4 linked regions of the Elephas maximus indicus genome follow. The protein of the gene in region 1 binds, or shares a complex with, the protein of each later gene. Links are inferred from orthologs where the notes say so. Each region holds a gene or a part of one and is shown on either strand. Other genes may lie near its edges. The genes, in order: DAB2IP, DCP1A, ARHGEF6 and PAK1.

The links.
Region 2: DAB2IP (region 1) and DCP1A share a complex: the UniProt entries of both Homo sapiens proteins name them as parts of the cytoplasmic complex. The link is inferred for Elephas maximus indicus from reciprocal best matches to the Homo sapiens genes DAB2IP and DCP1A.
Region 3: DAB2IP (region 1) and ARHGEF6 share a complex: the UniProt entries of both Homo sapiens proteins name them as parts of the cytoplasmic complex. The link is inferred for Elephas maximus indicus from reciprocal best matches to the Homo sapiens genes DAB2IP and ARHGEF6.
Region 4: DAB2IP (region 1) and PAK1 share a complex: the UniProt entries of both Homo sapiens proteins name them as parts of the cytoplasmic complex. The link is inferred for Elephas maximus indicus from reciprocal best matches to the Homo sapiens genes DAB2IP and PAK1.

Annotation. Positions count from the first base shown.
Region 1 is NC_064827.1:71,757,760-71,765,250, forward strand, and holds the start of DAB2IP (disabled homolog 2-interacting protein), read left to right. Parts: upstream 1-4,469; 5' UTR 4,470-5,147; coding exon 5,148-5,271; intron 5,272-7,491. UniProt on the Homo sapiens protein: Functions as a scaffold protein implicated in the regulation of a large spectrum of both general and specialized signaling pathways.
Region 2 is NC_064838.1:57,513,907-57,521,333, reverse strand, and holds the start of DCP1A (mRNA-decapping enzyme 1A), read left to right. Parts: upstream 1-4,420; 5' UTR 4,421-4,453; coding exon 4,454-4,588; intron 4,589-7,412; coding exon 7,413-7,427. UniProt on the Homo sapiens protein: Necessary for the degradation of mRNAs, both in normal mRNA turnover and in nonsense-mediated mRNA decay. Removes the 7-methyl guanine cap structure from mRNA molecules, yielding a 5'-phosphorylated mRNA fragment and 7m-GDP.
Region 3 is NC_064846.1:19,039,247-19,046,552, forward strand, and holds the start of ARHGEF6 (rho guanine nucleotide exchange factor 6), read left to right. Parts: upstream 1-4,284; 5' UTR 4,285-4,371; intron 4,372-7,306. UniProt on the Homo sapiens protein: Acts as a RAC1 guanine nucleotide exchange factor (GEF).
Region 4 is NC_064825.1:44,661,015-44,667,976, forward strand, and holds the start of PAK1 (serine/threonine-protein kinase PAK 1), read left to right. Parts: upstream 1-3,946; 5' UTR 3,947-4,124; intron 4,125-6,962. UniProt on the Homo sapiens protein: Protein kinase involved in intracellular signaling pathways downstream of integrins and receptor-type kinases that plays an important role in cytoskeleton dynamics, in cell adhesion, migration, proliferation, apoptosis, mitosis, and in vesicle-mediated transport processes.

The sequences.
Region 1 (7,491 bases):
GAGGGCTCTGATGCTTCCCCTGTTGGGGGGGACTTCCGCCCCTCAATCTAGGCCTCCTCCTGTCCCTTGTCAAAGCTTGCTTTTAAAGAAAGTTCCAGGCTATTACACAGCCCCTCCCCCCACCCTCCAGTTTGTGTTTCATGAAGTCCTGGTCAACCTTATGACCTTTGCTTTTGCCATCCCTTCTGGGTTCAAATCCTGGCTCCTTCTTGAGGTAAGCCCTCTGGCCTTACTTACCCTTTCTCTTATATTTTCTGTAAAATAGGGTGGGTAACTGTCTGCCTCATAGGGTCATTGAGAAATTGAGTGCAATAAAGTGTGAAGAATGCTGAGGATAGCATTTGGCTCACAGTAAATGCTCAGTACATCTCAGCTACCATTATTATTACCAAACTTCACCCTCGAATGAACCTTTTGAGGTCAAACTTGTAGCCCTCCTCTGTTGGGGAGGTCTTGGTTTCTATGGTTCCCTCCAGCATGAGCATTGTTCTTCCCTGGATTGTCATTGTTAGCAGCCGTCGAGTTGGTTCTCCAACACGAGGCATAATGGAATGAAACGCTGCCTGGTCCTGCAGCATCTCCATGATGAGTTGCAGATTGGACCGTTGTGATCCATAGGGTTTTCATTGGTTGATTTTTGATAGTAGATGGCCAGGCCTTTCTTCCTAGTCTGAGTCTGGAAGCTTCCCTGAAACTTGTTCAGCATCATAGTAGCACAAAAGCCTCTACATGCGGTGGCTGCACATGAGGTGCCATGGTCAGGAATCAAACCTGGGTCTCCCACATTGAAGGTGAGAATTCTACCACTGAACCACCACTGCCCCATCCTCCCTGGGTAGGGTCTAGCATTTAAAGATAACCAACCCGTTGTTGTTTTCCTCCCATACAAAATGTTTTCTTCAGTGCAAACCAGGCCTTTTTGCTTTGTGCTCAGGTGAATAAATGGATAATCTGTCTTAACACTGGAAACACTGGTGGTGTAGTGGTTAAGTGCTATGGCTGCTACCCAAGAGGTCGGCAGTTCGAATCTGCCAGGCGCTCCTTGGAAACTCTATGGGGCAGTTCTACTGTGTCCTGTAGGGTCGCTATGAGTCGGAATCGACTTGATGGCAGTGGGTTTGGTTTGGTGTTTTTGGTCTTAACACTGGAGGAAAAACTGTCCTCTGTGGGCCATCTAAGGTTTTTCATGGGTAATTCTGATGATATGCTTCTTTTTCTCTTTCTGCACTGACTTTAAACCTAACACCTCCTAGTAAGATGGCTGCACTGGGCTGGCCTGGCAGCCCTCCTTCCCTGCATTTGGATGCCTCTCCTAACCTGGAGCCCTGGCCTGGCCCATGGTTTACCTGGACTGTCAGCCCAGCTCCCATGCTGCCCACTACTCTCAACCTTTAGGATACCTGGATGCTGATTGTTCTCTGCCTGGAGGGCAATTCTTTGGATCCATTCTTCCTGGGCTTCCCTGTGGCCTCTTAGTATCCCTATTATTCAAGGTATGGCAGGAGTACGGAGGAGGGTCTGTCATTGGGACTCGGGGTAGACTTAATCTTTAAGGAGGTGATATTTGAGCTGGGTCCTGAGGGATAAGGAGGAGTTTGCTAGGTGGGTGCTGAAGGAAGAGCTTCATGGCTAAGGCCAGAACTGGGAAGGAGAAGGAACGCATGCAGTGCCTCTGGAAGGTCTGAGGCAGATACATCAGGGTTGCTGGAGTGGGAAGGGGTGCGAAGGGAGGCAGCTCTTTTGTGATGGAGCTTCGTTCTTTTTGGTGCTCTGGGCATCCTCCTTTTCCGGAAAAGGATGAAAGTAGGAGTTAGTGGCAGTAGGGTTGGGTCAGGTCTGATTTAGCCAGTTCCCTGCCCGGCACTTAGGAAGCATGCAGATTTCCTGGCCCCATCCAGACCCACTGAATCAAGCATCAGGGGAGAAACCCAGAAATATGTATGCTTAAAGAGCCAGGGGTGATTGGGAGGCTCAGCGGTGTAGAAACCATGGAGGCCTTGACCTCACCCAAAGCAGCACATGAAGGTGGAAGCCAGGCCTCTTCTGGAGCCCTTCTGGAGGCAAGACAGAGGTGGGCGGGTGGGGGTGGGGCAGGACTACTGGCCAGACTGTTAACCCTGGAGGGTCTGAGGCTCACAGATCAGCAGGGCAGGGATGCTAATTCTGTCTAGGGCAGTCACAGAGGGCTTCTCCTTAAGCGGAGTGTGTCACAGGAAGCAATGAGATGGGGAGGGAGGGATATTTTCTGAGACACCTTCCTCAGTCCAGGCGGTCTCTGGAAGTGGGGGTTGCTACTCTGTTTGGAGGGAGAAAGCCACAGGGGCAGTGAGTGGGGGACTGTTGGAGGGGGTGGGTGAGTTGTGCCTCTGCAGCAGGATTGATCCCAGATGCTCTGCTGGGGCTTGCAGGGAGCAGCCTTTGTCTGCCTGTCTGCCCCCAGAGGTCCTGGGCCAGGGGGAGGGGCAGGGAGCCCAGGACTTCTCCTCACTCCTATCTTGCCTTTCTACTTTGTACCCCAACCCCAGCCCCAGTGCCTGACAGGAGGCCTGTGGAGGTGATTGGCTCTTGCTTGGGATGATTGACATTGCCTGTTCCCACTCCAAGGCCAGGCGGCTTCCTATTCATTATCTGACCTTCCTCCCTCCACAGGTAGATCGATTGGGGACACGTAATTTCTCCTCGCGGGAAAGGAAACTGAGGCACAGAGAGGGACCTGAGGAGCCCAAGCATAAGCTGGGAGACCGTGTTTATAGACTGAGGTCCAGAGTTCCTGGCTACTTCCCTCTTCCCTCCACATACCTAAGACTATGTGCTGGGAGCCCCAGGCCGAGATCACTTGCTCCTGCTACTGACCAGAGTGTGTTGGCAGTGAGCCTCCCATCTCCTCAACAGGAGGCTAAAACCTGGCTGATCAGGGGATTCCTGCTTTGGGAGGAAAACTGGGCCAGATGAACCCTGGAAGCAGGGTTGTTGTCCGCACATTGGGAGCCCTCCACTCCCCCAAACTGGTGGGTCCAGCTAGGGAGGTTATTTATTACTGGATGTGCCAAGGCATGAGTGGGTGGGTTCTGGTGGCCCTGCCAGAAGAGAATGCATGCTACCATGGGCCCACGACTGAGGGACTGAGGTGCTGAGGGACTGGGTGCGAGCTCTTCCCAGGGGCATTGCCCTTTGAAAGAGGCTCCTGGGCAATGTCTAATGTTGAAAATAACGTAGAGCAGTGCTTAATCCAAAGCGGGCTAATGGTGTCCTAGATGGCTATGTGGTCTTCCATCTTCTCCTGGGACTGGCCAGTAGTCTGGCTGTCTTTGCCCTTTTTGTTGGGATAGCTTTGGACTCCCCAGACTAGGTCTGGAGGAGCAATACCCCTGCTACCCCTCCCCCTTGGTCCTGGGAAGGCGCCTGGCTTCCAGCTGTGATCCAGGCTTCTGCTGACCTGGGGGCCCTCCCCCCTGGTTGAGGGAGGGAGGGAGGGGGCTCCCCCTGTGAGGTGCAAAACCCGGCCTGGATTCTTGCCCAGACTGCCTGCTATCTCCAGGGCCCCAACTTTTCAGCAGTTCAGAAGGTGGACCCCCAGACTGCCTCAGGCACCCACACATGACCCTCCCCGCACACACACCTAAGACGGCATATAGGGGATCCCATGCTAAGAGCACTTGCCTCTGCCACACCACTGTTTTTCTGTTGACTGGGGCAAGTCGGACTTCCCTGTCAGGGCCTCGGTTTCCCTTCTGTGCTTGAGGAAATAGAACTCAGGCAGATGATTGCCTGATGGTTTAAAGAATAAATTCCGAAGCAGGGGTAGGGGAGAGTAGGGAATAAGAGGAGAAAGAGAGAGATCCTTGAGGGCCTGGATGGTCAGGGAAGGCTAGAGGAAGTGTGCTGTAAAGGATGGACTTTGGCTAATCAAAGAAACGTACATGGGAGGCAGTTGGGGCTGGGAGTAAAGCAAAGAGAAGTGAGAAGGAGCAGGGGAACCGTGGAAGTGAGGCTGGAGGGCAGTTTGGCTGGGGCCTGAGTGTTGAAGCCCCAAAGACAAGGGAAGAATGCATGGGCTTGTTGGCACTGGGCTTTGGGCAGCCATGGAAGGTTCTTGAGCTGGGAAGTGAGTGACTTGGTGAAAGTTTTTCAGCCCGTTGCAATTGAGAGAGTTGGAACGCTCCCTTTTCCCAGCCTCAGTTTCCCCTCTCTACAGCAGGGTAAGAATTGTTCTCCCTGTCCCCCTCCCTCACTGCCCCAGGCCTGCCAGAGTAGGTGTAAATGTCCAGAGGGATGCAGACTTTGCAGTATCTGTGGTTTTTATTTATGGATGTGGGGGGGGGGGTCGGGGGGGTAGGGTGTCTAAATCAAAGGGGGCAAAATGTTCAGATTTGGCAAAGTCTGCTGGTTGCACGGGTGTTGGTTATGTACTCTCCACTTTTTGTGTGCTTGAAATATACACCACAATTTTGATTATATAAAAAATAATGTGTATCAAATGGGACAATCCTTAAAACGTAAAGAATAGGCATGTATTCTGCCTGAAAGCAGAGTGTTTCAACCCAGCTGGGGCTAGACCCGATGGGTTCGATTCTCAGCCTGGTGAACTTGGGGCAAAACTGGGTAGTCCCCTTCATTCGGACTCTAATTGACCTTGACTGTTTCCCTGGACCTCGGTTTCCGCGTAGCGTAGCTGCCTGGAGGCCTTGCATGTGTCCTGCCCTGTGTCCCGGATCGCGCACACGCGGGAGCGCACCATCTACACCCGCCGCTGGGATGGGGCGCCCCGTGCGCCCTGGGATCGGGCTTTGAGTCCTCAGGCGCTGGGAGACGGGGGAGGCCCTCCTGCTTCCCTACGTGGAGGCCTGGGGTTCCGGGGGTTCTCCGGCCCGCCTCGCCCCTTAGAGTCCAGGCCGGGATTTCCCCAGCACTGACTTTCCGGGCCGGTGCCAGTCCGGCCTCCTGGTCCCCAGCCCCCGCCGCGGGGCCGGCTGCTTTGGGGAGGAGGAGGAGTTTGAGCGACTTTGTGGGGCAGCCTTGGCCTCGGCGACGGCGGCCGCACCAACGAGCGCGGGAGAAGGCAGGGACGCCCGCCGGGCGGTCCGGAGCGGGCGATGGGGCCCGTGTGAGCGCGCCCAGCCCCGGCCCGGTGCCCGGCGGGCGGCAGCATGTCCGCGGGCGGCAGCGCCAGGAAGAGCACCGGGAGGCCCTCCTACTACTATCGGCTGCTGAGGCGGCCCCGGCTGCAGCGACAGAGGAGCCGCTCCCGCAGCCGGACCCGTCCTGCCAGGGGTAGGCGCGACCCCCACTCCTGACCCCCAGACCCTTTCCACCACCGCTTCATCACCTGATGCCCCGGGATGCCAGGGACCCAAGATCCTCCTGCTAGCCACTTACGGGGGAGCCCTTCATCCGCCTCTCCTGGTGCCCACTAGTCCGTCTGCGGGACCCCCATTACCTCCAGCTTCTCCCTCATGTGCACCCTCTTGTGTCTTTAGTGTTTTCCCTGTGCCATAGGCAAGGAGATGGGAGATTGGAAGCCAGGGTTCTCCTCCTTTGACCTCTCAGATCAGACCTCCTGCCCCACTGTGCCTCAGTTTACCCGGCAGGAGGGCATTAAGTGATCCAGGATGGACCCTGGCTTACCCTTGCCTCACCTCCACTGCCCTGGCCTCCCAGCTTCGCCAATCCTGCACTTCTTCCCTTTCCAAGGACTTAACTGACTCCCCTCTTGGGAGGGACAGGTGAGGGATCCTATCCCAGGGATCCTTGGCTTTGAAGGAGCCAGAAGCTGAGTGGGTGGGTGGGCCTTACCTCCTTTGAAGTTTCCCTTCTTCAAGCCCTGGAAGCAGGGGAGAGGGGGAGGTGCAGGCAGCATTTTCTTTTTCCAGTAACTGGATCCTCAGCTGGAAATGAGTGTGATCCAGGGGGCTGCCTTCAGGGCTGGGTGGGGGCCAGGACTTCCTTTCCTGGCTGGGTGGGAGGAAGGGAGAGAGGTCCGCTGGAGAGGCCAGAGTCCTGGGCAAAGGCTCAGGCCCTCCTGAAGGTGCCAACAGAGCCAGGGGTGGAGCTGAGGCAGCAGCACTCATAGGGACCTGGGTTGCTTTTTTACCACCTGCTTGTCAGAGGAAGCTGGGAAGGCTGGCCCTGTGCCTGCCCAGACGGGGTTTGAGCAAATGCTGTCATGGAGTCTGCAGATCAGGGTCTAACCTCTCCAAGTGCTGGTTGTATGACCTGGACCTGTAACATTGCCCTTCAGCATCACTAAATGTTAGTTTTGCTTCCCCGCAGAATGGGGAAGACTTTTCCCATAGTTGGGGCTGAGCAATGACGTACAGGGCTTCCTCAGGAAGTAGTGAATTCTCTGTATGGAGAGATTCAAGCTGAGTCTAAGGGTGTGCACAGGTGTGGACCAGAGTTCAAGCCTCGAGGTTCTCTCGAGGCCCATGGTTCCCCAGTCCTTGTCTTCCCTGAAGTGGCCTCTGGCTACCTCCCACCCCCTCAGTCTTGGCCCTGGAGACCAGAGATCTGCATTCAAGCACAAGCCAGTGTGACTTTGGACAAGTCACTTCCCCTTTCAGAGCCTCAGTTTCCTCCACTGTAATATGAGTGTGGCAGTACTGGGACGATTTGGTGAAGAAACAGGTGCATACTGTGCCAAGCAGGATTTGTACAAATGTCCAATAATGCTCAGGCCACCCTGGGGCCTCTCCTACACCCACCCCAACCTGCCCCTCTCCTCACCTTGGAAATGCCTTGTGTAACCTTTCCCTTAACTTTTCACCTCAGTCCAGTTTCCTCCCTGGCTGCCAAGGCACGGAGAGGAACAAGAGCTCTCCTCTCAACCAGTTCTGCTGGCTGGGAAGGGGACAATCCATGTGTTGGCCTTCCCCTGAGCCCCAGCTCCCAGGCCCCACAGGTATAGGAGCCCTGCTTTGTGCCCCACGCCTTGAAGGAGCTCACAGCCTGCTGGGGGTAAGGAGGAGACTGTCAATGAGCAGAAGTTACAACTGAGAAATCAGGGAGAGCTTCACAGAGGAGGTGACATTTGGATGGGATCTTACAAAATAGATAGGATTTCCTTTGGCCCAGGGAGTGGTTGAGTCAGAATTGGGTTCAATTCCAGCTCTGCACATAACTATCTTTAGGCCGGTTACCTCACCAAGCCTCAGTGATCTCTGCTGGTAAATGGTAAATGGGATAAAGACGGCAGAGTTCTAAGAATGGGAGTAGGAATGCATGGAAAGCTGGAAGCCTGTGTTCGGGGCTTGGGCCACAGGCGTGTGACCTATTGTCATTTCTCTGGGCAGAAGGAACAGCTCCTGCAAAGACAGGAAGATGGAAAATGCCTTGGGCATTGTGGACAGAGCTCTTCCTGGGGGAGGGGTAGAGGGTGGGCTGGGGAGGGGGAAGAGCAGGGAACAGAGCTTGGGGCCTGACTGAGTGAGGGGAGTCCTGGGGGGTGGTGAGAGCTGCTTGGGAGGGGCACTTAGGCAGGGCATGAGTTGGAGG
Region 2 (7,427 bases), on another chromosome or scaffold:
TTGCTCATGGATAGGAAGACTTAACATAGTAAAAATGTCTATTCTCCCAAAAGCCATCTATACATACAATGCACTTCCGATCCAAATTCCAATGACATTTTTTAATGTGATGGAGAAACAAATCACCAACTTCATATGGAAGGGAAAGAAGCCCCGGATAAGTAAAGCATTACTGAAAAAGAAGAAGAAAGTGGGAGGCCTCACTCTACCTGATTTTAGAACCTATTATACAGCCACAGTAGTCAAAACAGCCTGGTACTGGTACAACAACAGACACATAGACCAGTGGAACAGAATTGAGAACCCAGATATAAATCCATCCACATATGAGCAGCTGATATTTGACAAAGGCCCAGTGTCAGTTAATTGGGGAAAAGATAGTCTTTTTAACAAATGGTGCTGGCATAACTGGATATCCATTTGCAAAAAAATGAAACAGGACCCATACCTCACACCATGCACAAAAACTAACTCCAAGTGGATCAAAGACCTAAACATAAAGACTAAAACGATAAAGATCATGGAAGAAAAAATAGGGACAACGTTAAGAGCCCTAATACAAGGCATAAACAGAATACAAAACATTACCAAAAATGATGAAGAGAAACCAGATAACTGGGAGCTCCTAAAAATCAAACACCTATGCTCATCTAAAGACTTCACCAAAAGAGTAGAAAGACCACCTACAGACTGGGAAAGAATTTTCAGCTATGACATCTCTGACCAGTGCCTGATCTCTAAAATCTATATGATTCTGTTAAACCTCAACCACAAAAAGACAAACAACCCAATCAAGAAGTGGGCAAAGGATATGAACACACACTTCACTAAAGAAGATATTCAGGCAGCTAACAGATACATGAGAAAATGCTCTCGATCATCAGCCATTAGAGAAATGCAAATTAAAACTACGATGAGATTCCATCTCACTCCAACAAGGCTGGCATTAATCCAAAAAACACAAAATAATAAATGTTGGAGAGGCTGCGGAGAAATTGGAACTCTTATACACTGCTGGTGGGAATGTAAAATGGTACAACCACTTTGGAAATCTATCTGGCGTTTTCTTAAAAAGTTAGAAATAGAACTACCATACAACCCAGAAATCCCACTCCTCGGAATATACCCTAGAGAAATAAGAGCCTTCACAGAAACAGATATATGCACACCTGTGTTTACTGCAGCTCTGTTTACAATAGCAAAAAGCTGGAAGCAACCAAGGTGTCCATCAACGGATGAATGGATAAATAAATTGTGGTATATTCACACAATGGAATACTACGCATCGATAAAGAACAGTGACCAATCTGTGAAACATTTCATAACATGGAGGAACCTGGAAGGCATTATGCTGAGCGAAATGAGTCAGAGGCAAAAGGACAAATATTGTATAAGACCACTATTATAAGATCTTGAGAAATAGTATAAACTGAGAAGAACACATACTTTTGTGGTTACGAGGGAGGGAGGGTAGGAGAGGGTTATTTACTGGTTAGTTAGTAGATAAGAACTACTTTAGGTGAAGGGAAGGACAATACTCAATACACGGAAGGTCAGCTCAACTGGACTGGACCAAAAGCAAAGAAGTTTCCGGGATAAACTGAATGCTTCAAAGGTCAGTGGAGCAAGGGCGGGGGTTTGGGGACCATGGTTTAAGAGGACTTCTAAGTCAATTGGCAAAATAATTCTATTATGAAAACATTCTGCATCCCACTTTGAAATGTGGCGTCTGGGGTCTTAAATGCTGACAAGCGGCCATCTAAGATGCATCAATTGGTCTCAACTCACCTGGATCAAAGGAGAATGAAGAACACCAAGGTCACACGACAACTAAGGGCCCAAGAGACAGAAAGGGCCACATGAACCAGAGACGTACATCATCCTGAGACCAGAAGAACTAGTTGATGCCCGGCCACAATCGATGACTGCCCTGACAGGGAGCACAACAGAGAATCCCTGAGGGAGCAGGAGATCAGTGGGATGCAGACCCCAAATTCTCATAAAAGACCAGACTTAATGGTCGAACTGAGACTAGAAGAATCCTGGCAGTCACGGTCCCCAGACCTTCTGTTGGCCCAGGACAGGAACCATCCCCGAAGACAACTCATCAGACATGAAAGGGACTGGTCAGTGGGTTGGAGAGAGATGCTGATGAAGAGTGAGGTACTTGTATCAGGTGGACACTTGAGACTGTGTTGGCATCTCCTGTCTGGAGGGGAGATAGGAGGGTAGAGAGGGTTAGAAACTGACAAAATTGTCACGAAAGGAGAGACTGGAAGGAGGGAGCGAGCTGACTCATTAGGGGGAGAGTAAGTGGGAGTACGGAGTAAGGTGTATATAAGCTTATATGTGACAGACTGACTTGATTTGTAAATGTTTACTTAAAGCTCAGTAAAAATTATTAAAAAAAAAAAAAGAGCTGGGTTTTAAAATGACATTCATTCATTTTAGGGTCTACTCTATGCCAGGGGCTGTGCTAGGTATTAGTCTCAGAGTTTATTTTCTAAAAGACACACAAAAGGTCTTAAAGTTTGATTCACATATATAAAGCAAAATTGTTGGTTGTTAGCTACTGTCGAATCAAGTCAGACTCATGGAGACCTTACGTGCGCAGAGTAGGACTGTTCCATAGCGTTTTCAAAGCTGTGACCTTGTCACCGCAGATCACCAGGCCTTGCTTCAGAGGCACTTCTGGGTGGGTTTGAACCACCGACCTTTCAGTTAGTAGTCCATCGCGTAACCATTTGCCCCACCCAGGGACTCCAAAGCAAAATTAGAACTCAAGTAAATGTGAGATTTTAACACTGAATCCCTCTGACAGTGTGGAATTTTGAGCCAGTGACTTCTCCCCTCCAGGCGTCAATTAAATTGTCTGTCAAATCCGGATGACATCTTCCCTGCCCAACTCCTGCACTATGAAATGAAAGGGAACACTTACCTTTCTTTTCTGATGAACTCTTGTTAATACCTGGAGCTCCAATTCAAACATCACCTCCTCCATGAAGCTCGCCTAGTCTTTCTGAGTCAGATGGCATTAGTAGCTACATCCTCTGGGTTTCAAAACAAATATCTCTGGTGTTGTCCTGTTTCCTCCCATCGTCCTACTTCGTTCAGTTTCTCCCAGAGCCAGAAGTCCTTTGTTAACAGACTGTGAAGCTCCCAAAGGGCCAGAGTTCAATATTAAAAAACCAAACCCATTGCCTTCAAGTGGATTACGATTAGCAACCCTATAAAACAGAGTAGAACTACCCCACAGGGTTTTCAAGGCTGTAAATCTTTACAGAAGCAGACTATCACTTCCTCCCACTCCCAATGAGCAGCTGATGGGTTCCAACTGTTGACCTTTTGGTTAAGAGCCAGGGCTTAACCACTGTTTCACCAGGGCTCCTTAGTTCCAAATTAGGAGTTCAATAAATACTTGCTTAAGAAGGGTGAATAAATGATGTGTTTCCTTGTCCACAGTTGTACATGCTTCTTACCTGATTCTGATAAGAATGTAAGGCATGAAGCTTCTTTCCATTAACAGACACATACAGTGCAATACACATTTAGAGTGTTATTTTGATGAAATTATGAAATTTTCCTTTCAAAATTTGTCAATTCAGGCATTTCCTCAGTTGAAAGTATCTTTTCAATAAAGGAAATGTTGCCTTTTAACAGGTCTGCAAGAGAGTTCTCTATAGTCTCCGCTCTTTGTTTCTCTTTAGCTAATAACAGTACCTTGCTCTTTAAATGCCTTAAAATGCTTAGCAGATGTTTGCTAAAAGAATAATCTTTTTAATCCTTTAAATGATACACAACAAACTCAAGCTTTCACGGGCTCGTCCCAGAACTGGGTAGAAATATGTACTTGAGACCAAGACGAGGAAAATAAGGGGCAGAAGTGGATAGGATAAGACACTCCTGTGAAGTTCTATGTGGACTACTTTGGCTTTTAATTTTTTTTTCTTCAGAAAACACTAAAATTGTTAGCGGTAATGATGTGTTGATACGTGAGGTAGTTTTCGCACCCCTATGCTCTCTTGCTTTTCTGTGCTTTCCAAACGGTCCGTGGAGCCCTGCATTCCACGGCTGTGTTTCCGTTCTGCGGCCCCGGCGTTTCTCGCGTGCGGGCCCGAGGCAGGCGTAGTATCGGTCCCCTGCCTCGCCCCGCAGGAGCTCAAAGAAAGCGCGCGGGAGGCCCGGCACCACGACGTTTTAACCCGTAGAGAGGAGGCACCCTCGGCCCCCACCCTCCATCTGCAAAGGTTTAGTGGAGGGAACCCGACGGCGCCGGAACCCGAAGTCCGGCCCTCCTGCTGCGGAGCAGGATGGTCGCCGCACCGCCCCGCTGCAAGACCTGATGAAGAGGCGGAAATCGAAGGCGCTGACGAAGCTGGGGGAACTTTGCTTCGATGCACTTTCCGGCCCGTGACTCCGCCCCCGCCGGAGGGGCTCCGCTCCGGGATTCAAGATGGAGTCGCTGAGTAGAGCTGGGCAGGAGATGAGCTTGGCGGCCCTGAAACAGCACGACCCTTACATCACCAGCATCGCGGACCTCACGGGCCAGGTCGCTCTGTACACTTTTTGCCCTAAGGCCAACCAGTGGGTGAGTCTAGCCTGGCCACGAAAGACGCACGCTCGGCCGCCGCCGCCACCTTTTAAAAGGGCCGTGCAGGCTGCCGAGACTGAGGGGCGATGCGGGAGGCCGAGGACTGGTGGAGAGTGGGGTGGGCACCGCAGGGGCATCGGAAGCCTTCGGGGATAAGCAGTATGAGCGAGAGAAGTAGGCCCTAAGTATCCTGGGAAAAAAACCACTGGCGGGGAGGTTTGGGGCAGAGTCGAGTTGCTTGGCGTCAGCTCCAGGGACGTGGGCGACCTGCCTTCTTTGCAGATGCTTTGGGGAATGTGAGACCCGTGGGGTCAGACAGATGCCTGAAGGCTTGTGTTTGAGGCTTTGAGGGTTATTACATAAGTTGCATATACATAGTGAATATAATAAACACCCCTCCCAACACACGTAAATGAGAGCCTCCTCCGCAAAGGTCATTTGTATTTAAAGCTTGAAATGCAATTAGTTAACAAATCTTGGAAGGGGTGATGGGGCGAGTCCGTCTCTAATGGACTTACACTGTTTCCGGGAAGATTTCAGGGCCCTTAGGAAAGGGCTTCCGTGTTATCAGGATTCCCGTGAGATTTTTGGAAAAGAGACCTTGTAGGTACGTTCCTGTTCCAGCTGTGATGCCGGTTATGTCACCTCTGAATGCTCCAGTCAGACTAAGTACATTTTGCCCTGTTTGTATGGGAGAGGGTCCTAAAGGTTATGTGGTCTGTTCAGTGACTCTTGTTAGACCCTGCTTGAAGTTCCGGTAATTGTTTAAATAACAGAATTTTCGTTTTATTGTAATTGATCCTTGCTAGTAAACTCAGTTACAGGCTTTACACCTAGAAAATAGGCCGTAAACGTTTGTTGGATTCAGTTCATCTGTGCTTGACATTCACATTTCAATAAGAAATTTTAAAAACCCTTAAACAAAACTCTCAAAGTTATTATTGTAATATGCCTCTTATAATGTACTACACATGTATATATTTATCATTAACTCTGTGCAAACCATTTGGCATTTACAAACAGTTAATTGAGAGAAGAGAGTTTTCAAAGTCATCTTGTTTTCCTCTTTCCTCCCCCTCCTGGAAGAAAAGGAGGTATGGGAAGAAGCCACAAAGAACAAAATTACAGATTTTGTAAAAACATGTAGCAGTATTAGGTATTGCCCTCTGAATCGTTTTTCTTTTCCTGGTCTACGTATAAACTTATGGTTAGGCATAAATATGGATTGTGGGCAAATGGTGAAGACACAAGACTTTGAATGCTTTGAAATTTTAATTGTGAAGTTCTGTTTTAAATATGAAATACAAGTTACAATAACCTCAATTGAAAAATAAGCTGCCATCGTTTGTTCATTTGAACCATGGCTCATAGAGCATAACCAAAATCTTTTCTGTTATTTTACAGTGAATTGTAACTTTGCACAATGAAATAAGATAGGCAAGTTTTCTTTTACTATGAGACAGTTGTTAATATATTTCTTATACTAAAAACAAGAACAAGCCTCTGAATCCTTAGGAAGGAAAAGTTTCATGATGATATTTAAGCTTACAGCAGTACTACTCCTGGAAAAAAACCAAGATGGTACCTTTTTTTAAATAAAATTATTGCAACAAATTCAACTTAATATGATTAACACTTGAAGTTTCTCTAAAAGTTTACTGATTACATTAAAACATTAAGGTCCAATGTAAGCTATGAACTGCAGACTAATAATGTGGTTATTTGGGTTGGTTTTGTTGTTTGTTTGTTTGTTTGTTTGTGAACATTGTAACTATTTAAAACCGAAATACACTTTTGTCCCAACAAATGAAGATGGTAATGAACTGTACTTTGTTAATCAAGACATTTTAAAAATTATTTGTAAAACCTGTAGTAATTAAGCCAGAGTATAGTTACAGTTGGAAACCCTGGTGGCATAGTGGCTAAGTGCTATGGCTGCTAACCAAAGGGTCAACGGTTTGAATCCGCCAGGGGCTCCTTAGAAACTCTACGAGGTAGTTCTACTCTGTCCTGTAGGGTCCCTATGAGTGGGGCAGTTCTACTCTGTCCTGTAGGGTCCCTGTGAGTCGGAATTGACTCGACGGCAACAGGTTTGGTTTTTGGTTTGTTTATAGGTACAGATTAGGAGTCCCTGGGTGGCACAGATGGTTCAGTGCTCGCCTACTAATGGAAAGGTTAATAGTTTACATCCACCCAGAGACACCTCAGAAGAAAGCCCTGGCAGTATACTTCCGAAAAGTCACTGCCATAGAAAACCATATCCTCTGTGGGTCTCCATGAGCCTGAATCAGCTTGATGGCAACTGGGCTTTGTTTTGTTTTGTTACAGTTTCAATATTTCCTTCAACCGAGTTCTAAAAATGGCCAACTAATTGTGTTTGACAGGAATTGTTAACTGATCACAAAATTTGCAACTCATTAAAACATCAAAATCCCCCAGTGATGAAACAAAGTACTATCCTATAAGCTAAAACTTACTTTTTTCCTATTAACTTTAATAAACTTTAAAGGTGAAGAGCTGCTGTGCGCAGGAACTTGGCTTTTAAATTAAGAAATGTTACTAAAATATTTTAGCTAAAACAAAAATGTAGGTAACAGATATGATGCTAGATTGAGCATTGAGTATACTTACATGCAATGAAAGGATACAGAAGAAACTGATAACAGCAGTTGATGGAGTGAGGGAGAGACTTACCTGTTTGTTCAACTGATGAGTCTTACAATGAGTAAATTGATCTTAAACATAAGGCATATCTTCTCCATTAGGACTGTTTAGGTTTGAATGATTGGAAAAACACTAATTGATTCATTGTCTATTGCAGGAGAAGACCGATATA
Region 3 (7,306 bases), on another chromosome or scaffold:
GAAGTAGGTATTGTCTGGCAGCTTGATTATGATGAAATCACTGAAGAATTTGTAAGAACAAAGAATAGAAAGAAATGTTTTCGGTTATAACATATTAAAAAAAAAATTTTTAATCTATCTAAAAATAAAATACAGTAATTTGTTGTAATATTTGTTTTCTGATCCTTAAGTTTTCTTTTTTTAATTGTGCTTTAGGTGAAAGTTTAGAGAGCAAATCAGTTTCTTATTAAAAAATCAATACACAAATTGTTTTGTGACGTTGGTTGCCAATCCCATGACGTATCTAACACTCTCACTTTCACCACCCAGGTTCCTTGTTTCTATTCGTCCAGTTTTCCTGTCCCTTCCTGCCCTCTCATCCTTGCTTTTGGGCTGGTGTGCCCATTTAGTCTTGTATACATGATTGAACTATGAAGCACGGTTCTCACATGTGTTATTGTTTGCCCCATAGGCCTGTCTAATCTTTGGCTGAAGGGCAAGCCTCAGGAGTGACTTCAGTACTGAGTTAAAAGGGTGTCTGGGGCCATACTCTTGGGGTTTCTCCAGTTTCTGTCAGACCAGTAAGTCTGGTTTTTTTTTGTGTGTGTGTGAATTCAAATTTTGTTCTACATTTTTCTCCAGCTCTGTCTGGGACCCTCTATTTTGATCCCTATTAGCGAAGTTGGTGGTGGTAGCCAGGCACCATCTAATTGTTCTTGGCTCAGTCTGGTGGAGTATGTGGTATTTGTGGCCCATTAGTCCTTTGGTCTAATCTTTCCCTTGTGTCTTTGATTTTCTTCATTCTCCTTGCTCCAGCCGGGATGTGACCACTAGATGTATCTTAGATGGCCTCTCGCAGGCTTTTAGGATCCCAGACGCTACTGAGCAAAGTAGAATGTAGGATGTTTTCTTTATAGACTATGTCATGCCAATTGAGCTAGATGTCCCCTGAGACTGTGGTCACCAGCCCTCAGCCCAGTAACTAAGTCCCTTAGGGAGTTTGGATATGTCTGTGAAGCTTCTGTGACTTTGGCTTGGTTACATTGCACAGACTTCCCCAGCATCGTGTACTGTCTTACCCTTCACAAAAGTTACCAGTTATCTACCTAGTTAAGGTCCCCCACCCCCACCTTGTAACCATTCAAAGGTTTCTTTCTGTGTGGAAACTTTTTCATGAGTTTTTATAATAGTGGTCTCATACAATATTTGACCTTTTATGATTGACTTATTTCACTCAGCATAATACCCTCCAGATTCAACCATGTTGTGAGATGTTTCACAGATTCATCATTGTTCTTTGTTGTTGCATCGTATTCCATCGTGTGTATGTACTACAGTTTGTTTATCCAATCATCTGTTGATTGGCACTTAGGTTGTTTCTATCTTTATGCTATTGTGGATAATGCTGTAGTGAACATGGGTGTGCATATGTCTAGTCGTGTGATGGCTCTTATTTCTCTAGGATATATTCCTAGGAGTGGGATTGCTGGGTCATGTGGTATTTCTATTTCTAGCTTTTTAAGGAAGCACCATATCATTTTCCAAAATGGTTGTACCGTTTTGCATTCCCACCAGCAGTGCATAAGAGTTCCAATCTCCCCATAGCCTCTCCGACATTTGTTATTTTCTGTTTTTTTGATTCATGCCAGTAATTGCAGGATGAGACGGTATCTCATTGTAGTTTTGATTTGCATTTCTCTAATGGCTAATGGTTGTGAGCATTTCCTCATGTATCTGCTAGCTGCCTGAATGTCTTCTTTGGTGGAGTGTCTGTTCATATCCTTTGCCCATTTTTCAATTGGGTTATTTGTCTTTTTGTTGTAGAGGTGTTGGATTTTCCTGTAAATTTTAGAGATTAGACCTTTGTTGAATTTGTCACAGCCAAATTTTTTTTTTTTCTGTCTCTAGGTTCTCTTTTTACACTTTTGGTGAAGTCTTTTGATGATCAAATGAAAAACCAAACCCACCGCCATCAAGTTGATTCCAACTCATAGCGACCCTATAGGACAGAGTAGAACTGCCCGATAGATTTTCGAAGGAGTGCCTGGCGGATTCGAACTACCGACCTCTGGGTTAGCAGCCGTAGCACTTAGCCACTACGTCACCAGCATTTCCTTTTGATGAGCATATGTGTTTAATTTTTTAGAAAGTCCAGTTTTCTTTTATGACTTCTTTTCATTTATAACATTTCTTATGAAACAAACATCGAAATTGAAGTATGAGAGGTTTAAAGCAAAATCGGTTAAAGTTATTGTTTTGTTGTGGGAGATCAACAGAATTTTACCTTGATTGTTGAGACCACTAAGTTCACTGACTCATTTTCTTTGTTGTAGAATATGTGGAATGTTCTTTTTGTGGAAAATGTGGTATATAGTAAAAATCTGAGTACCCTGCACCCACTAAAAATTTTATAATCCAGTCATTCCACTAAAATGGCACAAGCCACTTTTGCATTCAATTGCTAATATTATGGTCACATTTAAAAAGAAGTTACATCATGGTTAGCTAAGACACACACACACATACATATATGTATCGAACTCATGTATCCTGTTTGAATGTGTGAGTAAGCAGAGGAAGGGGCACCACAGGTTATCAGTGTTTAGGGTCCTTACATGCCTTGATCCATCCCTGCCCACTACGCACACTCCTAGGGCTGAGATCCAGACCTTTTTAGAGAAGTTGCTGTGGTGCGGAGCTGGTGGAACTTAGTAGACATCTGATCTCTGGAACTTGCTGAAAATGTGCGCTCTAGGGTGCTGGCTTCCTGTTAACAGGGGAGGTGTCTCACTAGAGGCACTCTACTACAAAACCACCCAAGGCTGGTGCCAGGGGAAGCTCCTGCTTACTGTGCATTGGGGAGGCCAATGTTGCAAAAGGCAGGCCCTAAGAAAGCTGGGAGTTCTGCAGAAGCCTGTGGAATGAGCATACAGGAAACAGGAAGTAAAGCCCCTTCTTCTTGCACTCTCTCTCCACCGCTGTCTACTGATAAAACTTCACATCAAAGTAAAGTAAAAGTAAAAAATATTGAAGGGCCCCAGGCTCGTTTTCACAGTGCAGGCAAAAAGGGGGAGTCGAATCAATTACTACTACAGGAGGTCGAGGAACTAATGGTTATGACATTGAATCGTTTTCTTGCGGATATTGAATTAACCCAGGTGTTGACAGAAGTTAAGGTGGAGTCGAAGGTCAAGTGGAGTGCTTTAATAATATGGATTCCCGTTTCCCATGGCAGACCGTCTGAATTAGAACGTCTGAGAATAGGGCTCAGAAATCTTCTTTTTAACAAGTGCTCTAATAGATTTAAAATAAAAATAATTAATTATGACTATTTCAAACATGTAAAAGAAAATAGTACAACAGACACCACTGTACCCAGCATACAACTTTAACAAATGTTAGCATTTGGCTTATTTCCTGCAGAACTCCTTTTTTTCCCCCTTGTAGTAAACTGGTATCTATTTTGGCTCAAGGAGTCTCTGGGTAGAGCAAATGGTTAAGCACTGGGCTACTAACTGAAAAGTTGTTGGTTCAAACCCACCCAGAGGTGCTTTGTAAGAAAGGCCTGGTGATCTACTTCTGAAAGATCACGGCTTTGAAAACTCTATGGAGTGGAGTTCTACCCTGAAACGCATTGGGTCACCACGAGTTAGAATGGACTCCAAAGTAAGTAGTGGTGGTAGATTTTGTCTCAGGTTCCATCTTCTCATTCCGTTCTTCTCCCTCCCTCATTAGAAGTGATCATTATGAACACTCTTTTTTAAAAATTTATTTTATTCTTTGTTGTTAATATACACAGCAGAACATACACCAATTTCTACATGTACAGTTCAGTGACATTGATTACATTCTTCAAGTTATGGAACCCCTCTTACCCTTGTTTTCTAAATTGTTCCTTCCCCATTAAGATAAACTCACTGCCCCCAAGTTTTTTAATCAACTCTTTTGAGTTGCTGTTGTCAATTTGATCCCACGTAATTGGTGCTTTAAAAGAGCACAATGCTCAAGGCAGACATTTTTTACTAGTTAAGTTAAAACTTGTTTGGTTTAAAGAAGACTTCAGAGGATATTTTTGGTTTGAGGTTTAAAGGTTATCTCAGGGAAATAGTTTGGGGGGTTCGCACACCTCAATGGCTCCAGAAAGTCTAGATTCCATGAGAATTTGAAATTCTGATGAACATTCTTTTTTGAATACCACTGCCTTAGGCAATGGAGAGCCTTCGAGGGTATTTGAGCAGGGGTAACACGCACTGCACTATTGAAGAAGTGTTTCTGGAACATCTAACTGCGCTCTTCCAGAGACTTCGTTAGGGAGAGAGAATGGAGGTGAAGAAGCCGGTGAGAAAGCAGATTCAGTGGCCCAGGGTGTATGTACTAAGGATCTGAAGTAAGGTGAGAGACCTTTGCTCCTTTTACTCACACTCTGTCTGAAAATTGTTCTTAGTAGACATTGTGACCTCCAGTCTTTCACCCTCTCCCCATTCTCCCAGTTCACCAGCTCCTTTCCATCTTCACTTGCTTCCTTACCTAGCCTGGACTCCATGGTTAGTCATTTCCCTTATATACTTGCTATTGCTGTTGCTGTTAGTTGCTGTTGTGTGGATTTTGACTCATGGCAACCCCATGTGTGCGGAGGAGAACTACTCCATAGGGCTTTCAAGGCTGTGACCTTCCAGAAGCAGATTGCCATGCCTGTCTTCCTAGATACTTCTGGGTGGATTCAAAGCGCCAACTTTTGGCTGGTAGTCCGGTGCTTAACTGTTTGTGCAACCCAGGGACTCCTCAGAATTACTTGCTTTCTTGAGATTTTACCATACCATTCTAATCTCCAATCTTTATACTATAGAGCTCTTTCTTCTGCCTTGAGGAGGTGGCCTTACCTTTCTAATTTATTGTAATCTATATAGTGTCCACAATGAGGGCTTCTCAGATTATTTGCTCAGTACACAGATTGAATAGGTATGGTGAGAGGACTCAACCCTGACACACACCTTTCCTGACTTTAAACCAATCAGTATCCCCTTGTTCTGTCCGAACAACTGCCTCTTGATCTATGTAAAGGTTCCTCTTGAGCACAGTTAAGTGCTCTGGAATTCCCATTCTTCTCAATGTTATCCATAATTTGTTATGATCCACACAGTCGAATGCCTTTGCATAGTCAATAAAACACTGGTAAACATCTTTCTTTATTCTTTGCTTTCGGCCAGGATCCATCTGACATCAGCAATGATATCCCTGGTTCCACGTCCTCTTCTAAATCCAGCTTGAATTTCTGGTGGTTCCCTGTCGATATACTGCTGCAGCCATTTTTGAATGATCTTCAGCAAAATTTTGCTTGCGTGTGATATTAATGATGTTGTTTGATAATTTCCACATTCGGTTGGATTACCTTTCTTTGGAATAGGCATAAATATGGATCTCTTCCAGTCTGTTGGCCAGGTAGCTGTCCTCCAAATTTCTTGGCATAGATGAGTGAGCATCTCCAGTGCTGCATCCGTTTGTTGAAACATCTCAATCAGCATGGAAAAATGTCTGGTTTAAGCCATTAAAAACAAACAATCATTATAGTCATGTAGCGTCTATACAGGGACACCATACAAGTACATTCATCAGTCAGCAGTTTTGAACATCTACTGTGTACCAGACACTGTGCTGGGAACACAGCAGTAAACAAGACAGATGAGATCCCTACTCGAGGGAGCTTGTGTTCTGGTGGGGGAGATAGATCAATAAGCAATAACATAAATAAAGTGGCGTAAGTGTCGTGACAGAACAAGAAGAGACAGCCTTGAAAGTATTTAGCAGAGTGATTTAAGCTAATTATTTGGTAGTAGGTGCCTGAACCTCTGTTGAGAAGGATTGTGAAGCTTAGCAGGAAAGAGCTAGATTGGCTGGCAGTGTCTGCCCATGCATGAAGTAAAGGGGTAGTGGTGCATTTACCCACATACCTATTGCCATTGAGTTGATTCTGACTCATACCTACCCTACAGGACAGAGTAGAACTGCCCCATAGAGTTTCGGAGGAGTGGCTGGTGGATTTGAACTGCTGACCTTTTTGGTTAGCAGCCTGAGCGATTAACCGCTTTTTTTATTAAAGGTTGATCTTATGATAAATTTCCCAATAGTGTGACTATTTCAGCTGGTTCTGAAAATATTTGAGGATAATGAAGATCTTTTCTTACAGACTAACTTTTTTTTTCCCCAGAGAATTTTGTTTTTAATCAAGTAACTTTCCTTTATTTCCTAATAATAGTTATGACAAATAACCTTAAAGACATACTGTAAGGGATGTTACTTGCCATTTTATAGCTTAAAGTGTGTTTAGATGCCATCCCCTGGTGGTTTTGAAGGGTGTTTTTTTTTTTTTAAGAATGTTAAAATGTTTTATATACCTGTTGCCATCAAGTTGATTCCAAGTCATGGAAACTTCACGTGTTACAGAGCAGAACTGTTCCATAGGGTTTTTTTTTTTTAATTTTTATTGTGCCTTAAGTGAAAGTTTACAAATCAAGTCAGTCTCTCGTGCAAAACGTTATATATACCTTGCTATATACTCCTAATTACTCGCCCCCTAATGAGACAGCACACTCCTTCCCTCCACTCTCTATTTTCGTGTCCATTCGGCCAGCTTCTGACCGCCTCTGCTCTCTCATCTCCCCTCCAGACTGGAGATGCCAACATAGTCTCAGAGAGCATTTTTAATGCGAAGTGTTTCTTGTTGGGAAAACATCAGCCTCCCTGACCGTAGTGTAGACAGTGTGAACAAGTGCTCTTTTGTTCTCAGATGTTCTGTTTTCAAGTGTATTTTACTCTCTCATGAGACTGTGTCTGAGCCTTTGCTAAGGGTACTACAGCTGGATTGCGTGGTGGAACCAGGTCCAGAAAAAGAATTGCTAAAGAATGCAAGTAAACAGGATGTCAGATGTTATCCTTAGCCCATTTCCCTAAACATAGCTTTTTGGCTGCAAAGTAAAATGCCATTCTTCTAAGCTTCTGCTTATACACAGAGATGGCTGACAGCAGGCACAATCTTCATTCACTTGGCACGTTGTCACTGTACAATTCAACGTGTTTTGCAAGAAATGATCATGACACACCATCTCTGTTAGATAGTATGATGACATCCAGCCTTTTCTTGGAGGAAGAATTTTCTTAGCCTTACCTTCTTCAAGCCCTGTTGTGCCAGCACAGCTCCCCACGAGGTTCAGACCTGTCTGACCTAAGAGCCAGTTGGCATTCTCCTCCTGACAGAAGCCAGATTTTCACTGGGACTAGACTATTTATTGACAGCATTTTCCCAGACTGGCCCATGGGTGTCTCCTTTCCA
Region 4 (6,962 bases), on another chromosome or scaffold:
AGAGCTCTTATCAGGTATATCAGTCTAGGAATCCATTCACTTTTCTTGTATGAATTCAGCTCAGGTGTCCAGGTAGCTGGTCATCAAGTATGTGATACAGGCTCTGTCCTATAGTTTTAGAGGGGCAGGGGTGATTGGTGTAGGTACCCGTATCTGGTTGCAGCAGAGTGTCATGCTCTGAACAAGGCAGGGGGCTGAGAATCATCCCCCACGTGTCTCTGAGGAAAGTGTGTCCCTGTTCCCTACAGCATACAGGTGGGTGGCTTCTGTAGATGGACCATGGACACTCAATATTTTTGGTTGTAAGGACTGGGAGGTACCAGTTATCCTTGGACCCATGTTGCAGGTGACTGGGTAACCTGAGTGGAGCTACCAGTCCTTAGGACCCTGATGTGAGTAGGTGAGGACCCTGTTTAATAGGCAAAGCAATGTCAAACATCAAACACCCACCTTTCCGCCGCACAGCTGAAACAGTTGTAGTGTGCCAACAAGGGCCTATTGTTAAATAGGCCCACACAGGTCCATGTAGAGGGGAAAGGTGCTCAAAGTCCATGGACTGTTTATGCCTGTACAGGAGCTGCTTCTGTCCTGAGGTCCCCTGGTTAGTGGAGCTGGCAAATTATCTTCTCCCCCAGTTGCAAATTTACTCCTTCTCCAACGCTGGGAGGATGGCTCTAAGCATTCAACAGGGCCTACCTCAGGTCCAGGGAAAACAGCCTCTGAAGCCAGCTTGGGGGCGGGGTGGGGTGGGGCAATAAAATATACGCATGTACCGAGCTTTTGCAGAGAGTGCTCTTCTTCTCTGGTTCTGGAGGTGTGAGTAGGCTGTGTGGCTGGCTGCTTTTCCCTGAGGAAACTGTGGCTGAACGGTAGTACCAGCCTGCCGCAGCCGCCTCCAGGAATGGTGCCTGAGGGCTCCCTGTGTTTCAGGTCTGGTAACTCCTCTCTGCTTCTGAACCGTTGCTTCCTCCCCCTGCCCCTCAGTTCGTTTTCTAAGCTTGCCTTTGATGTTCAGGGCTCCTAGGTTGTCATAAATATACTTGTTTCACTTTTTTTTTTTTTTGGTTTTTGTTGTAAGAGGGCTCGCCAGAGGTGTCTGTCTATTCCTCCATCTTGGCTCCTCCTCAATAGACTTTCTCCGTAGTGTTTTTAATGGCAGATTTTTGGGAAGTAAATCACCAGGCCTTTCTTCCAAGGTGCCTCTGGGTGGAATTGAACCTATAACCTTTGGGTTAGCAGCCATGTGCATTAACTGTACCACCCAGGGATTCCAGGCCATTTCTAGGTCATCTTTAATCCTTTAATCTTGAAAACCTAGCACAGGCAAGGGCACATGGTAGATGTTTGATAAATGTTTGAAGAGATGGCATACATGATAGATTTGAAGGTAACAAAGGCTCCAAAGGAAACTAATATGCTAGATAGCAGAGAGAGAGCTTGAAAGTATGGGCTGAAGCCAACAATATAAAATTGAATGACAGTGAAGTCGTGCATTTTAAATTGCAAAGAAATGAGGACATATGGGAAGACTGGAGGAGACCTAGAATGATGCTGTTCTTATGAAAAAGAGACTGGTGGTTTTAGCTGCCTAAGCTCAATGTCAGCCAAAGGTATTTCAGTGGCTAAAAAGGTAATGCAGCTGTAGACTGAATTATCGGAAATAGTAAGTACAATTAAAAAAAAAAAAAAAAAGGCAATGATTATTCCCACAGACTTCACTTACACTATCATGTCTTCTCAGGGAACCAGGTAGTAAGAAGGTCATTGCAAATAGGACTGAGTTTAGTGGAGGGTTCCTCAGACTAGCGCTACTCAAAGTAGGGTCTGAACTTTTTCCAGTCTGCTGTGTGGTAAGCATAGAAATTGAAAGTGTTTAGAAAACTTTTATAGCAATTTAACAGTAATTTTATGTCTGTGTCAGTGGTAGTTGATATGGAGAAGACTAACACCAAGGCAGAGAGAACTAAAGTGTAGGCTTAGAGTCAAACCAGGGTTCAGATGACTCAGCCATTTACCAGCTGTGTAGTCTTGGAGAAGTCACTGCCTTCTCTCACCCATCACCAAGTTGTGCAGCTTCTCCTTGCAAACTGTATTTTTATTACATAATTGTTTCTTTTCATCTATTCTTCCAATATGTTAGTCCAAATCATTACCATCATCTTTTGCCTGGAACTCTGAAAGAATCTACTAACTTGTTTCTTGTTTCCATCTTCCCTTCACTCTCCATTCTTCATTCAGCAGTCAGTGAGCTTTTAAAAACAAATTAGATCTTCTCATTTTGCTTTACTAAATCTTCCAAAGACTTCCCATCGTATGTATAAAAAAATCCAAACTCCTATTTGTGACCTGGAAGAGATCCTGCATAATCTGACTCCTGCAGTCTCTCTGAAGGGGCGGTGAGGTAATACTACCTCCTAGCGACCATTTGGAGCCCTGGTGGGACAATGCTTAAGAGCTTGGCTGCTAACTGAAAGGTCAGCAGTTCAAGTCCACCAGCTAGTCGCTCCTTGAAAACCCTATGGGGGCTGTTCTACTCTGTCCTATAAGGTCACTATGAGTTGGAAACTACTTGACGGGACATGATAACAACAGGGAGCACTTGAGGAGTCCCTTGGTGGCAAAAGGAAACCCTGGTGGTGTACTGGTCAAGAGCTACGCTGCTAACCAAAAGTTTGGCAGTTTGAATCCACCAGGGACTCCTTGGAAACCCTTTGGGGTAGTTCTACTCTGTGCTTTAGGGTCACTATGTGTGGGAATCGACTCGATGGTAACAGGTTTGGTTTTTTGGTGGCACAAGTGTTTAAGCACTGGACTACTAACTGAAAGGTTGGTGGTTCGAACCCATCCAGAGGCATGTTGGAAGACAGGCCTGGCAATCAGCGTCCAGAAGGTCACAACCTTGAAAACCCTATGGAGTGCAGTTGTACTCTGCACATTTGGGGTTGCCATGAGTCTGAATCCACTAAAAAACAAACAAAAAAACAAACCAGTTGCTGTCAAGTTTTTTTTACTGATAGCGACCTTACGAATCAACTAAACCAAACCAAAAACCAAACCCAGTGCTGTCGAGTCAATTCCGACTCATAGAGACCCTATAGGACAGAGTAGAACTGCCCCATAGAGTTCCCAAGGAGCGCCTGGCGGATTCGAACTGCTGACCCTTTGGTTAGCAGCCGTAGCACTTAACCACTACGCCACCAGGGTTTCCACGAATCAACTAGATGACAATAAACAACAACGGGGAGCATTTGGAATGTGTTGTGCCTGCAATTTGGTGTTGTTCAGCTCAGGGCTCCTTACAGTGCCTGAGACACAATAGGTGCTTAAGAAATACCATATGAAACCACATTCTCCCCAGGCCTCAGTTTTGTTGTGTGTGAACTGGTGTAGTCCCCACTTCACAAGGCTGATGAGAGACAGACTAATATTTGTAAAGCCCCTGGTATACAATTAGCACTTAAACGGTAGCTGCTGCTGCTGAGCTTGCTTTGCTTTGAAACAGCCATAAGGGCCCACCCAGTGTTTTCCCTGGGGCATTAGAATTAGACCTGACACGTTTTGGGGGTGTGGGATGTGTGTGTGGGGGGTGCGGAACCGCTTTTACTGCAGCCCAATCTGATGGAATTGTAGGACATCTGACTTCAGAAGACCTGGAAGAGGGCTTCGTGCAGAGCCAGAGCCAGCTGCAGAAACTGAGGCGCAGAGAAGCTCTGGTTCTCTTCCTTGACTCTGGGGCGCGCCCAGGACTCTGACAGAACCTGGAAAGCCCGGTTCCGGCGGGAAATTACCTCCTGCTGGAGTCGGAATCGATTCGACGGCAGTGGTTTGATTTGGTTTGATTTGGGAGACCGGGTGGTGGAGAATAGCTGATTGGGAAGGTACTTCCTCCCGCCTCCTTCTCTGCCTTCTTTCTCCGCCCCTTCTGCTTCGCCTTTGCTGCCGCCCTGCGAGGGCGCGAGCGTGCTGCACCGCGGGAGCTGGGGCGGTCCAGCTGCCCAGAGCCTGGCCCAGCCGAGGAGCGGAGCCGGGGAGACTGGCTGTTGCGCGGTCGTGCTGGCCGGGAGAGCTGCGGGTCTGCGACGAAAGAGGTCGCCAGGGATGCCGGGGTCGGCGCCCCCCACCAGGTAATGCCGGCCCTGCCTGGGGCGTGCCCAGCTAGGCTTGCGCTGGGGGTCTCCGCCAGCTTCCGGGGAGACCGGAATTTTAAGCCTCCTTTCGTTCCCTTTCTTTTAAGAGGCCCTAAATGAGAGAAGGGGCAGAGGGTGGAACCCTCTGATGATCCCACCCAGGGTTAGGCCTACACTGGCATCAGAGCTCTCGCCGGGGTGTGAAGGGGAAGCTGCGCTTTTGGGGAACTGCTCTGCTGCGGGAGCCCGCGCTCGTCTGCTAGTACCCTTTGCGTGGTGGCCTGGGTGATGCTCACCTCTGCCTTCGCTTAGCTTCTCGCCTGCTGGGACCGTGGAGCTTTTCTCTGGGTCCTGAGCGGGGGAAGGGGGGATGTTCTACGTGACTGATAAGTGAACTGGGAAATGGGAGACCTGGCGGGGGGGGGGGGGGGCTGGTACTGGTTCAGACAGCCTTTTTGGGCCTCAGTTTCTTTATTTCTGCAATGAAAGACTTGATATCCTGCTTGTAACTCTGGCTTTCCCAGGCTGTCAAAGTGTCTTGGAAAGATGAGCAGGCGAAAGCCCTGGAATGAGTCTTGGGAACGTGCCCTTACACTGTAGGAGACAGAGGCGAAATTGGGAAGCAGATCTTGGCGTTATCTCTTCCAGCTAGCTTTTTGAATGCATCTTGCTGGTTTGCCCAGGACCCAGTGACTTCATGGGCAAGGCAGAGGCTGAGAATGCTGATATTTGGATATAGGGAGGTGGGGTTGTGAAGAAGCAGGTCAAGGTATGCTAATGGTTTTTTTTCTGAGCTGCCCATTTCAGTATTGTGTATAAAGCTGCTTTAAACTATGTTGTCTTGTGTGAAGCCCCTTCCTTTCCCTGCTAAGTTAATGACAAGCCTTGGGGCTGTATAATGACTTAATCACTGTAATTTCTTCCTTCTTAATTATCTGGGACCAAGAAACACATGTCAGGCCTTCTACTAACCTACCTAGATTATTTTGAACTTTCCTCCTCCCCCTGGTTTTTCCTTGGTCCTGCCTCTTTTAGCTCTCCCCACTTCTCTTTCAGCTTCCTCCTCCTGATCTTTTCCTGCCCTTCTTCCTACCCACCTATTCTCCCACCCCAGCTTCCTCCCTTTTTCCTGGTCCCTTCACGCTTTGCCTTTCTTATCTCTTCTTCATAGCCAGTTTTTCCTTCCCTCTCTTAAGTCCTTCATTCTTGGTTAGGCTTCTCTTTCCCTCTTACAATTTCTGGTTAAACTTTTTCATTATTAGTAGGTTACTGGTTTGTAGGGACCTTTTGCTGTGGTGTTTTGTGAGATCTCAGCATGCTCTGTTTCCTACCTAACTCCCTTGCTATGAGATTTCTCCTCCAAATTCTGTCTTCTCCCAGTGCCAGTAATCCTTCCTTTTGGATTTGTCCCCCAACCTCTTTCCCTGGGGGTCCAGCAAGTGGGCCAAAACCCAAACCTGCTGCTGTCGAGTCAATTCCGACTCATAGCGACCCTATAGGACGGAGTAGAACTGCCCCATAGAGTTTCCAAGGAGCGCCTGGTGGATTCGAACTGCTGACCTCTTGGTTAGCAGCCACAGGACTTAACTACTACACCACCAGAGTTTCCAGCAGGTGGGCTGTAGGGAGTAAATTAAATGGGAAGTCAGAGGCTTGAGGTCTAGAGTTGGAGGAGAGCAAGTGTGTCCAGTAGGGCTGGGCAGAGGCTCAAACTCCCTTTAGTGAGATGAGTGACTGGGGGAGGACCAAACACTCTTTGGCAGCTCTGAGACATTGCTGAAGAAATGAAGTTGACCCATGAGCCCAGGAAAGAAGAGGGGAAAACCCTGTGGGAACCTAGGAGGGATTAGGTTCTTCTGGGGGAGAAGAACAGTGGCCTTTTGAAGAAGAGGGTGACTGGGTAAGATAGGGATTATTTGGGCGTAGGGGTGGGTGGGGAGGGGGTGGCAAGGGAAGGACTATAGTCTGGGAAAGGGACCATATAGGTTAATTCTCTTCCCCTATGCAGACTTGCTTTTTGGACTGGTTTATTTCTACTCAGCAAAATTTTCTTGAGTAGTGTCCCCAAAGTGGGTGAGTGAGAGAGGCAGCAGAGATGAGAGTGACAATGTTGCTGTTTTCTGGTGCTCACCATCTAGGCCAGAATATGAAATGTATATCTATATAAAAAGCTTTGAATAAGGCATCCATTCATCATCAGATGTTCTCTGAACCATCTGTGTTAGTTATGGTATCAGGTGCTGGGGATACAAAAGTGGAAGTTGAACTCAGTGACTGCCCTCCATCCAGTGCAGGTCAAAGAGTGTGGGTACCTGTGACCTCATATGGTAAGTATCTAGAGGCAAGCACAAGGGGCTGTGGTGGTGCAGAGGAGGGAACTTTTGACTCAGCAAGTCAGATGCAGAGCTAGAACATAAACTCAAATCTTCTTTAAAGGTGATGCCTGTTCTCTGTATCATTTTATCTCGTAACCCCATGTGTACAGATAGTATACAAAGAGTTTTCTTTTTCCTTTGTTAATTTTATGGTGCTTTGTTTACAGTGCAGATTAGTTTCTCATTCAAAAATTTGCACACACAAATTTTTTTGACGTTGGTCGCAATCCCCGCAATGTGTTGGTGCTCTCTTCCTTTACCACTATACCCGGGTTCCCCGTGTCCGTTCATCCAGTTTAAGAGTTTTCTTACATTCCGCTTTTTGCCTACCTTTTGGGCTGGAGGAGCCCTGGTGGTGCAGTGGTTAAGAGCTATGGCTACTAACCAAAAGATCAGCAGTTGGAATCCACCAGCTGCTCCTTGGAAATTATATGGGGCAGCTCTAACTCTGTCCTATAGG